Linked DNA regions of Oryzias latipes. The protein of the gene in region 3 binds, or shares a complex with, the protein of the main gene of each other region. Links are inferred from orthologs where the notes say so. Each region holds a gene or a part of one and is shown on either strand. Other genes may lie near its edges.

What was found.
Region 1: rrn3 (region 3) and znrd1 share a complex: the UniProt entries of both Homo sapiens proteins name them as parts of the pol I pre-initiation complex. The link is inferred for Oryzias latipes from reciprocal best matches to the Homo sapiens genes RRN3 and POLR1H.
Region 2: rrn3 (region 3) and polr2k share a complex: the UniProt entries of both Homo sapiens proteins name them as parts of the pol I pre-initiation complex. The link is inferred for Oryzias latipes from reciprocal best matches to the Homo sapiens genes RRN3 and POLR2K.

What each region holds. Positions count from the first base shown.
Region 1 is NC_019869.2:21,549,357-21,553,127, reverse strand, and holds znrd1 (DNA-directed RNA polymerase I subunit RPA12), read right to left. Parts: upstream 2,561-3,771; 5' UTR 2,439-2,560; exon of another isoform or gene 2,299-2,438; 5' UTR 2,288-2,298; coding exon 2,170-2,287; intron 1,496-2,169; coding exon 1,392-1,495; intron 1,311-1,391; coding exon 1,201-1,310; intron 1,128-1,200; coding exon 1,103-1,127; 3' UTR 501-1,102; downstream 1-500. UniProt on the Homo sapiens protein: Core component of RNA polymerase I (Pol I), a DNA-dependent RNA polymerase which synthesizes ribosomal RNA precursors using the four ribonucleoside triphosphates as substrates. Can mediate Pol I proofreading of the nascent RNA transcript.
Region 2 is NC_019869.2:7,013,698-7,017,962, reverse strand, and holds the start of polr2k (DNA-directed RNA polymerases I, II, and III subunit RPABC4), read right to left. Parts: upstream 2,801-4,265; 5' UTR 2,687-2,800; intron 1,622-2,686; 5' UTR 1,544-1,621; intron 1,461-1,543; exon of another isoform or gene 981-1,460; intron 677-980; exon of another isoform or gene 571-676; intron 1-570. UniProt on the Homo sapiens protein: DNA-dependent RNA polymerase catalyzes the transcription of DNA into RNA using the four ribonucleoside triphosphates as substrates.
Region 3 is NC_019866.2:25,544,614-25,548,577, forward strand, and holds the start of rrn3 (RNA polymerase I-specific transcription initiation factor RRN3), read right to left. Parts: upstream 2,801-3,964; 5' UTR 2,552-2,800; coding exon 2,453-2,551; intron 2,181-2,452; coding exon 2,124-2,180; intron 2,053-2,123; coding exon 1,963-2,052; intron 1-1,962. UniProt on the Homo sapiens protein: Required for efficient transcription initiation by RNA polymerase I (Pol I). Required for the formation of the competent pre-initiation complex (PIC).

The DNA of each region.
Region 1 (3,771 bases), on a different chromosome or scaffold from region 3:
TTTTTGTAAGAGTTTACTTTTATGCCAAATAGCTTGCCTGCTTGTGCATCTCCTGTGGATAATAGATGAGGGGGGCAGTTATTAAAAAGGCTTTAGAGAGAGATTGGGGGGGGGGGGGGGGTATAGGTATGATGGAGAGCTACTGAGGCCCAGGAGGACCAAACTAGACCAAGGAGGTTGAACTGTTTTTTTCTAAATGCTGCTGGCAACTTAACAGGGCAGTTGTGGTGCAGAAGTAGAGCGGTCAACCCCTGATCAAGAGGTTGCAGGTTTAATTCCCACCCTACCCGCCCATGTGTCCAAGGTTAAGACACTGAACCCCACCTTGCTTCTGGGGGTTATAGGTTGGCAACATGGTTTGGTAGCTGAGCCACAATCAGTGTGTGTGTTCATGGGTGAATGGAACTGTGACTGTAAAATGCTCCAAGAAGATAGTTAAGGGGCTAAATAAGTATACGCCGTTTACCATTCTGCTTCAATAAATCAACAAAAAGAACATGTCAGATACCAAGAGCGTTCTTTATCATTTAAAGAACAATTTAACAGCCATGTGAGATGTAAGTTGAAGCCTTACTGGATACAACAGTTCAAATTTGGTAGAATACTTTATAAAAACATAGGATGACAGTTTTCTGGTCTTTGACAAGAGTTTTAAAGAAATTAATCAAACTATAAAGAGATCATTTTCTGAGAAAATGCGCGCAAGTACTAACAGCTGTCCAGTTGAGAATCAGGGTATGCTTCAGGAAAAATAAATATAAACAGCTGATACAGTTTTATTGTTTCTGGTTAGTTTGCTGAGTTGCTGTCCTGCTCCTTCACTTTAGTTGACTTGTGTAAAATGTATACCTGATTGTCCTGAGCCTCCGTGGCTGCAGTTTAAATCTGAGACATCGATTCCTGTTTTTTTTCTTGTAGAGTCCCGATGAACTGACCAGTGTCATGTGTGACAAAGGTGGAGAGGACCAACACGTGCACCAGAACATGCACAAGTTCAGTTTAACAAACAGAAACAGCTCATCACTACAAAAAAGCAGCTCCCTGGATCAAAACAGAACCAGAGTTGAGGTGATTGTGATCAGATAGTAAGCAAAAGCTTTTCTCAGGAGTCCTCCTTTTCCTGGAACCTGAAACAAGACAAAGACCGGTCAGCTCCAGAACCGTACAGCAGGACAGGAGGGTCACGCTGACGCCACCTACCTGCAGTGGATGCAGGTGAAGAAGACCGTCTGTCCTTCATCTGCAGATCTCATCTGCCTAGTGTGGTAGATCATGCCTTCCTTATTGCAGCGAGTGCAGCGTCGGTCAATCTGCAAGCAAGGCAAGAAGCAAACCGTGAGGCGTTACCGCGACAACGAACGCTCCACTGCTGAGCGGACGGCTGCTTTTACCACAGGGCCCTTCAGCTCTGAGTTCTCCTCATCCTCCAGAGCCAGCAAGGTCTGCTCAGCGGGGTTGAAGATAACCCCAGACTGAATTTCTCTTCCCAAGAACTCTGCAGAGCAAAAGCAGCACAGTTAGAGGATTGGACAGATTAGACCTGTTAGAGAGACATCAGGAGAACCCTTTTGTCAGTGCAGACTGGCTCAAATAATTTCATGAAAGCATTAAGAGTAACTTTCAGCAACAGAGTTCTTCTGAATCCTCAACATCCTTCCCATGACCTGTGATAGTGTCACGTGGTAAAGGACACATGTATGAGCTGCCAGTGGATCTCCAACCCCAATATGAGGCCTTCCCAGGGAGGAGGAGTGAGCCCAGCAGAGGTTACTGTCTCATCACTGCTCCACAGACCGGCTGAGGAAGAAATTCAATGACTGATGTTGATCATATGCTAAATTGATTTGTCTGAAATGTTTCATTTGAGCAGTTTTAGGTGGTTGCTTTTTATTTCCCATTCTTGTTAAAGCATACTAGTCATTAAGAAAGGAGGGCAGTCAAATCAGAGAAACTAAAAAATCAAGGAAGAACTTACACATAATGTGAACTTAAAGGTAGTTGCTGATCAAAAACAAATAAAAAATGGAGGGAAATGTCAGACTGAGTGCCTCATTTTCAGTAAACCGGTAGTTTTGACTGTACTCTTGGTGCTTAAAAGCCATTCGGTTCTTGAGGGACATGAACCAGCAGCAGAGCAGGCAGACTCTCATGGCGGCGTGGACCGCTTACCTGTCACGGGCGTGCAGAGACAGCAGCGAGGGCAGCGCACCGTGTCGGACAGTCCTGGCAACGGCAGGACGCTGCCACAATCCTGACAGAAGTTGGGGTCGCGGCCGTTTGAAGACATTTGCTCTGGTTCTGAGGAAGCGCGGCGGCTATGTTCAGAGCACGTGACACAACAACAGTCCGACAGACAGATAGCTAACACATCATGCTAACTTGCAGGCACGTGGGTGGGCGCGCGCGGGCTCTCGGAGGAGTGATTTGAGGATAATTACCTGATCGATGGCTGTTTGCACAAAAACAGACAATAATTTACTTTCTCCTCGCCCGCATTGGGTGTTGTTGTGCGCTCTTCTTCTTCATGTTAACTAGAAGATGGTAATGTCACGTAAACACGAGCGCCTCGTAGTGGACAGAAATGTGAATGACACCATTGTAGTTTTCCTTCATTTGACCCTAAATTTTAAGGATGTTCCAACGTTTTACAACTCAAAAGACCTTATTTATTCGTAGTTGACTCTTATAAATTCATCACTTACTACTGTTGTAAGTTATATGAAGGTTTTAGACTACTGTAACTTTATAAGTGTGTTTTAATCCAGATATTTTCACCTCTAATGTTTCAGTTAGCCAAAAATCGAATTAATAAATGTCATTTTGTTTCCTTTCTCGCAAATGTTTGATGGTTTTTCTGTCTTTTTAAATCCATTATTTTAAAAAAAATAATTTTAAAATGTATTTAGCAAATTAAGCACTTAGCTTGCATCAAATTCCTTTGGTTGCTCAACATATTTAGTTGTTTTTTTGTTATTTCTCACAGCAGTATTATCTTGTAATATTGCATTTGTGGCATTGTTCATTATTGAGTTTTTCTAATAATTTCAGATGTTTAGCAAATTTAGGAATTATCAGTTCACCTGGGAGCTTTTGCATTTAAGTATTCAAGCTGGCAACAATTTAATTGAATAGCCTCCTTTATTTTTCCTAGGAATTAATGCTTTTCCTGGTAAATCCTGTTTGTACTTCTGGCCACAATTGCATATCTACATGTAGTTTTTTGCAGTTTCCTCTCAAATAATTGTAATTAAATTCCGATCTGTAAAAAATTGAGCCTCCAGTTTCACACACAAGGCAATTAATCCGTATTTATATCTTTGCCCACAGCCTCAAGACAAAATTAGATTTAAACAAGGTTTTTAAAAATAAATTACAACCTGATAAAATAAAAACAACCTGCTTGCCTATTTAAATCGACATAAATTGGCAAGCAGGGGGCATAAAACAACTAGAGCACATAATTATTGATAGTAGATTCATAACTCCCCAGGAACTTCAAGACAAACATGGAATAAATAACTTCTTGGAATATCAGCAACTTAAATCAATTATTACTAAAAAGTTTAAATACAGAGACAACGATTTCAAGCTACCAGACGTAGTTACCACTCTGATTAATTTCTCAATGAAAAAAACTCTCTCCAAAATATACAAACTTTTATGTAATTTAGATAATAATATTTCACTTCCGACAACAAAATGGGATGCGGATTTGAGCATCAGCACAGATTAAAGCTTCTGGTCAGAACTTTGTCTAAACACCTTTAAACT
Region 2 (4,265 bases), on a different chromosome or scaffold from region 3:
TCTTACTAATGGAGCAATGTGTTTTTCTGAGTAAGTTGATGATGCTGATCGCTAAGCTAACACTTTTAGCCATACTAGCATAACTTTCATTGTTAGCATAATTAGCATCTTAAGCAATGTGTTTTTCTGAGTGAGTTGATGATGCTGATCGCAATGCTAGCAATTCTAGCCAAAATAGCATATCTAGCAGTGTTAGCATATTTAGAGTCTTAAGCAATGTGTTTTTTCTGAGTACGCTGATGATGCTGATCGCTAAGCTAGCACTTTTAGCCATTTTAGCATAACTACCATAGTTAGGATGGTTAGTATATGCATTTTTTGGGTGGTGAGGGCGGCTGAGCTGCATAGAGGTGGGCAGCGATAGCGGAGGTGGTGTGTAGAAGCGGGTAGCGCCTACAATGCCACGTACGGCTTTAATTTACATCTATAATTTTGTCTGCTGTGAGTTTTCCTGAAACTTTTGCTATGAACTCTATTAAAAATTGTCATATATTAGCTGGATGGTTCATATTAAGGGCTATTTTTATTAAAACAATGACACAAAGTTAGGTGAAATTGTTTTTTAAAAGAGAAAATGAGGAACGCTTCACGAATTTGCGTGTCATCCTTGCGCAGGGGCCATGCTAATCTTCTCTGTATCGTTCCAATTTTAGTATATGCACTAGAGAACTAGTGCAATGAGCCAATGTCTCGGAGTGCTTTTTAAACCCTCCCCTCTGCTACTCTTCTCAAGCATGAGGTGTGATCTGAGGGAACACAGTGGACTTTAAAGGGAACCACAATTAAGACAAAACACCAAAAAAGATCCTCTGTTTCTCCCATGACACAGGATCGTCTCAGGTTCACCATCTCCATTCAAAGTTTGACTTAAATGCTTAAATCAGATTAAAATTACATTTTTTCTGACTTTGTGAGAGACTTCTTGGAAGGATTCTGGGAAAAGAAGGGGGGTTTTGTCACGTCAGACGAGTGCGACTGGTTTCCCGGAAGCGCCAGAACAAAAGGTCGAGTCAACACCCCTCCAGGAGGACCTTTACCAACCCCCACCGCAGCTCCAACCAACCCCCATGTGCTGATGGTTACACACACAGGGGTGGAGACTCTTTCAGACAAGGATCTGTGTGGAGAAAGAGAAAACTGGTCTGATCGCGTCAGACTGACGTCATTCTGCTGCTGCCTTCAAGCAGGAAGCCAAAGCGACGACTCGCTGCAGAAAGATCAGCTCAGAGACGAGAGTCTGTGCTTCTGCTTCCAGCAACAGGACGAACAGAACTCACATGGACCTAAATTCAATAAGAAGAACCCATCAAAGACCAGGATTATACACTTTCATTGGTGCGGAGACGATCCTGAGTGGCTTGCTTCCCTGTTGAGAGCCTGTCGGCTCCTGGTTGAACTAAATTCTGACCATTTCCTGCTTTTTCTCCAATATGCTGCCTCTGAAATTCTTTAAATACATTGTGAGCATCTGTGAGGTAAAATTCTACTTCAAAAATCCTGTTTCTAAACACAAAGATACAGTCATGTTTAATGCAGAAAATACCTGCTGTAGATCTGCCACATGGTGCCGCTGTTTCACCGCTCCACCTGGAGATTCATTACATGGAAGCGTTGCATTCAACTAAAATAAAGAAACGGTGGATCTTCATTATATTTATTCTGTGGAATTTTGTTCCAGTATTTCAAGAACTATAAAGGCAAATAACTTCATTTGCTCATCAAACATATAAGATGAGCTGCAATTAGAAGTTGAGAATGTGTTCGTGTCACAGACACATCCGGTCACCGGTCTGCTTTGTTTTTTTCATACTAACTTTATCCACAAACATGACGTTGGATATAGTTCTATTGACTAGTGTAAACTTTTTATTTGTGTCTGTGGTGAAGCAGAAAACGAGTCACAGCCTGAGTTTACTTCGATGTGAAGCTACAGAGGCAGACGGGGACCGTCAATAAAGTACACCAAAACACCCCAGACAAACAATAGCAGTTTCTCAGTAAGTCAACATAAATAACCTCTAAAACATTACAAGTACTCACTATTGTTCAAACAAACTCCACATAAATCCATACTATTACTTTATTACTGCTTTTCTTAGAGTGAACCAGCGTGTTGGAGTCACCCAAGTTGTAGACGTGTCCTTATCACCTCGCTTTAGGACAACTGCCGTAGTCCTAAAAAAACAGTGATCAAATGATCAAATAACTGGACCTTTTCTACGCGCTTTCTGGCCGTCCAAATGCAGAGAAATTGACGACAAACACCCACAGTCAGCAATAAATAAGAAGTTTAACGTTATTTACTGGAACGGAATGGAAATTTGGTGAAATTAGCGGGCCAGAAACTACTTTCAAATCCGCCATTTATTTAGATTAGAGCTTTGAACGTTAGCAACAATTAAATTTGTTTTTGTTTTCTACTAATAACACATCATTAAACTGTGTTTTCGACAAGACGAGCAACACATCTATTCCGTTATCTCACGAAAGCAGTAGTTATAATCTCGTAATATCGACTTAAATCACTCCAGAAAGTGAACTAATTGAGCAAACACGGCGGCCGTCGTCTTTCGTTTCCCTAAAAGCTTTGAACAATTTCTTTGATCTTAACCGCCACGCATGAGCTGCTCGTCTTCTCATGATTGTCGCATGTGTGAAGCTCAGAAAGCAGAATTCTGCTCCTCACCGTCGTTTGGACTCAGGTTGTTCGGGAGAAGTAGGACACGGAAGCACAAAAGCCGAACCCAGAGCGGTTCTGATCCGAACCTTTCACGCTGGAGTCCAGTAGGTGACTAGTCCGAGACATTCAGGGAACGTCCGAAAAAGAAAATCTCTCTTGAAAAAGTTTAGGAATTTAAAAAACAATAAAGAAAGCACAAGTAGGATTTTGTTTATCTATAAATGGACCCCCCCCACACACACACACACACTATAAAATCATTACTTAAATAAATAAAACAATAAACTAAGAAATGAGGTTTTTAAAGACAAACACAGTAAAAACATTGATTTCCACCTTTAATGAATGTCTGTGAATCGATCAATCGATGACCTCACGCGTTCATGGTTTTCATCCATTTACAGGTTCTTTCTGTTGAGAGAAGAAGTGAATCCCTTCCAGTTGTTTGTTTCTTTAGAAGAATCAGCAGCAGAGGATCTTTATGCTGCAACCGCGCACAGCGGGCCGCGAACTCGGGAGCTTCTGCACGGCGAGAGGAAGTCTTCCTCCGACGGGCCTGATCAGAGTGTTCCAACTTCTCAATCAATCAAATGGCCAGAATTGTTCCAATTTCTAGTATCAAACTTTGCTGTGTCCAATCAGAGAGCCGGATTCGTTCCAATTCCTTCAAATAACTGCCGGTTTTCCATTATTTTAAGACAAATAAATAGTTTGCATTATTTCAAGTGTCTAAAAGAGATTAATGTATTTGTGAAGAAGTGAACTCACGTTGTTACGTGTGTTTTAGTGAAAAAGGAAAAGGAAAGAACATATTTAATACAAAGTTTGCAGGCGGAGATGATTTTGTTTTTACAGGGAACGTTTATTTGCAATAAAAGTAGAATTGAAAAGAAAATATCAAGAATAAACTTCTTTTGAATCAGAACATTTTTAATAATAGGAATATTGTTTCCACAGAAAACTAAAATGTGTGCAGAGATTTAAATGGAAATGAGATCCAGCAAAGTACCAGGAGTGAAGAAGCTGAGAGGAGATTTCTCCGATGATGCTGTGATGATGAACCTGCTGGTGTTTCTGCGGCAGATCTAACCTCTGTCATTGTTCACCAGCAGAAACCTGGAAAAACACAGAACGACCCACTGACTGACTTTGGATGAAGAAAGAGGAAGACTCCCACCAGCTTTCATGGGAGAAGAAGGTCCAAGGTGAGGCAGGTCGTCAGTCTTGGGAAGGGATGGGAGAGGTGGAGTGGTGGATTCTGGACCCGTGCAGAAGCTCATGAGTTCATGTCTCACTTTGTACACTCAGACTGAAAAGGTTCAAATCATAGAAATGCAGGAGAAATCTAAAAGATTTAGCAAAGTATTTGCATCTCTAAATACTTTGAAATTGGGCTGATTTGGTGGTGAGAGATGATGCATTGAATCATTTGGCACAAAGAGATGTGAAAGTACTGAGTAAACAAATTGTTTTGTGCTTTTTTTCAGACTTAATCATCGACAAAACAAAGCTGCAGCTGCAGAACTCTCCGTGTTCTGGACAGATGTGTTCACCAAAGAGGGCAGAACTCTCTCATCACACATAA
Region 3 (3,964 bases):
TCTGGATCCACTTTAGGACAGAGGATCCGGATCCACTTTAGGACAGGGGATCCGGATCCACTTTAGGACAGGGGATCTGGATCCACTTTAGGACAGAGGATCCGGATCCACTTTAGGACAGGGGATCCGGATCCACTTTAGGACAGGGGATCTGGATCCACTTTAGGTTAGAGGATCTGGATCCACTTTAGGACAGAGGATCCGGATCCACTTTAGGACAGGGGATCCGGATCCACTTTAGGACAGGGGATCCGGATCCACTTTAGGACAGGGGATCTGGATCCACTTTAGGACAGGGGATCTGGATCCACTTTAGGACAGAGGATCCGGATCCACTTTAGGACAGGGGATCCGGATCCACTTTAGGACAGGGGATCTGGATCCACTTTAGGACAGGGGATCTGGATCCACTTTAGGACAGAGGATCTGGATCCACTTTAGGTTAGAGGATCCGGATCCACTTTAGGTCAGAGGATCCGGATCCACTTTAGGACAGGGGATCCGGATCCACTTTAGGACAGGGGATCTGGATCCACTTTAGGACAGGGGATCTGGATCCACTTTAGGACAGAGGATCTGGATCCACTTTAGGTTAGAGGATCTGGATCCACTTTAGGTCAGAGAATCTGGATCCACTTTAGGTCAGAGAACCGGATCAGCGAGCACAAATGATGATGTGAATCGTTGTTACAGTGAATGGTTCCACCTAGGGTTGTGCCGATGGACGATATCATCGTCCATCGTGATGGGTGACTGACATCCCGATGGAGAGACCACCATCGTGATGCCACGCCCCCGCCACGTTGCGCGTCGACACCATAAGCCGCGGTTACATGTACAAAATATCTTGATGGGATCAATGGTCGGATTAGTATCCAACCGTGTACATGGGCCCAGAAAAATGTTTTCAGAATATAAAAACGTTCACTAAGGTCACAATTTCGGTCGGAATAAATCATTCGCACATGCGCAGTATTCGCACATGCGCAGTTTGAAAACCGGAAGAGGATACAACTTCCGCCGAGCGGCTTTTTTTTCCAAACTTTATTGAAGGTAACAAATCAATACAAAACGATAACAGCGGCGAGCAGCTATATACATTGACATGTCAGCTCGGTAAAATACGAGACGATCTTCTAAACGTGCTTTTAATAATGTTACGGTTATTATGAAACACCTGTTCGCTCATCATTTGAATTTTAATCCGTGTGGTCAGTGCTTTTTCTGAACGAAGCCAGGATTAGCAGTATGCTAACACGGGCTAACAACATTAGCTTTGGGTGGCGCTGCACGTAAACGTGTAAGAATAACATCAGCCTTTATTTAGTCGGGACACGACTGGAAACACAAATCCGCGTGATTGTTTGAATGTTTTCTAAGGACTGAGCGACATTTCTGCTTTGAAGCTCAAACCGCTGTGTGTGCTGACGATCCGAACTGTGCTCAGACACACGTTTAGACCCGGTTCTGAGTTCGGTAGCTAGTACCCCTAGAGCTGCGGGACGGATCGCAGTCTTAAATCTCCCACACATACCGCTCATGTACCCCCCCCCCCCCTTCCCATCAAACATAAAGCTGTAAATCCGCCCTCCGCCGGTCAACTTCACTAGTTAAGTGCGGGAGCGGACCACTTCTTTTCTATTTTGCTTGTTACTTTTTCTGTTAAAGTCACTTCCCCTCAGTTTATACTGGATCATTGCGGATTAACCATTAGTTGGGAAATAAAATGAAAAAAGCAAAATAACGAATAGCAGTTATATAAGAACGAAAAATGTAAAAATACCCCCCCCCCCCCCCCCCGACGATGTCATCGTCCATCCCGATGGTTGACAGCAAACATCGTCAACGGCCAAATTAGGGGACATCGCCCAACCCTAGTTCCACCCAGAATGGAATATTCACAGATGTTTAATGAGGAAATCAACAGGAGGATTTCCTCTCCCAGAACTCTCTGCATCTCACCAGAACGGTATGGACCAGCTGCTCGTGGTCCTTCTTCAACAAGGTGACGCAGCTCCTGAACTCCTGCAGCCAGCTGATGATCTGAGCGTCCTGTGAGGAGCAGAGGAGCAGCTCAGTACCAACCATCCAACGGGACCAGTCGGCCCAATACCGGAACCCACCTTAATGTCTGGATCTGCCAGCTGATGCTGCAGCAGCTCATAATCACCAAAGTCCCCCTGTAGAACCGAACAGAACATCAACAACCACCAACCAAGATTCTAGTAGAACAGTTCAGGATCAGTTGCATCCTAATGCACACCAGCTTTGTGTTTTTTAGTATCTCCGCAACCAATTTTACAATTCAATGCGAATCAATTTACTTTAAATTCAAACATTAGAAAATACCTCCATAATGCTTTCTTTTTATTTAAATATGCAGCCACGTCACAACTTAATGGAACGGACTGACAACCGGACCAAAGCTTCAGTCTGCGGCGGAAACGAGTACCTGCCGGTGCTTCTCTAACGTCTCGGCCACGCTGCCCCCGAACCGGACCGTTTTCAGCGGGTCAGAGTTCAGGAAGTCCCTGTTAGTGTTCCCCTCCATGGTGGGTGCACGCGCCACCGGCAGCTGGGTTCCCGTCGCTAAAACAGCCGCGCGGACGAAGGCGCGCGGCCCCGCGGCATTCTCTCTGATGTCTTCTCGCTGTAGCTCCTCGATAACGAAAGTTCTACAACATCTGAAACAAACAGAACCAGAACCGACACGAGTCTGAGCGCGTCACCCCCTTTTTACACTACAGCCGGGAAGCAGCGGCGTGCTGGGGACGTGTTTACGTGAGGGACCGGTGTCACACTAAAAGATCTCCGGGAAGAGTTTTTTCCTCACAGTTCCTGCCTTCTTTATTTTTTAGAACAAACATAAAATGATTGAAAGTATATTTTTCAAAGTGACTGTCATTGATTTTAAGTAATTTCTTTTTGTCTAACAACTGTTAAAACTGTAAGATGCAGTAAAGAAAGATGAACATTTACTGATGAAAGGATTTTCTTCAGTTGATCCAACATTCAAGAAATACACGTATTACAGTATTGTAGCAATGCATCAATGACGGAAGCGGAGAGACAAGATAGGAGGATCTCTAGGCTTTATTTTTTTGAACTCAGTGCAAAAAAGAAGTAACCACAACAGGATTAAATAACTAAGAGTGAACAGCCATAAAACAGCCAGATGGAAGGACACACAGGCAAAATAAACCCCGTACTCAACCCAAACGTGACCAGAGCAGGCCAAGCGGATTATATCCCACAATTCCCCGCGCTGCCAGCTCCGACAGCAATGTGCGCGTGACCGCCACTACACTATTATGCTGGAACTGTTTCAGGAGTGGAAAAATTGCATTTAACCTTCTCTCAAAACAAACAAACTTTATGATACAACATTCTAAATAAAACTAAAAATAATATATACTCTATACACAGTGACGTGCAGTCAGGAGAGGCAGGTGCCTCACCTGTCATTATGGGAAGAAAAGAGAAAAAATAAATTCAATTATATTTAATCAGTAATTTGTGCTTTGCAGTCATTTTCCATTTAAATGTACCATTTTTGGGTGTTTTTTCTTTTCAAAATCGCTGAATTTCCGCATTTGCCGTTCAGATACTAAGAAGTGACGTGCGATGAGGCACCAGCCCGCTGAGCCTCACCTTGGATTGCGCAATACCTATGCAGTCAGACGGCACTGCTGTCTCTCTGTATGTCGGTTCAATCACTTGTACTATATCAGCTGAGTTTACATAATTTAGCAGATGTATATGATGTACAGTGTTTTCTTTTATAAATAACTGTATGTGGGGGACGTGTTTCCTGTGCTGAGCGCTAAACCCCGGCAAAAAACTCGCTGGGTGAGGCCAGCAGTTCTCGTGCCTCATGTTAGGGGCGCCGGTGAGCCCTGAGATTATGAATAAGTGATAGCAAGCGGCAAGTCATTTTCTTCAGAAGGAGCGGCGTATGAACTTT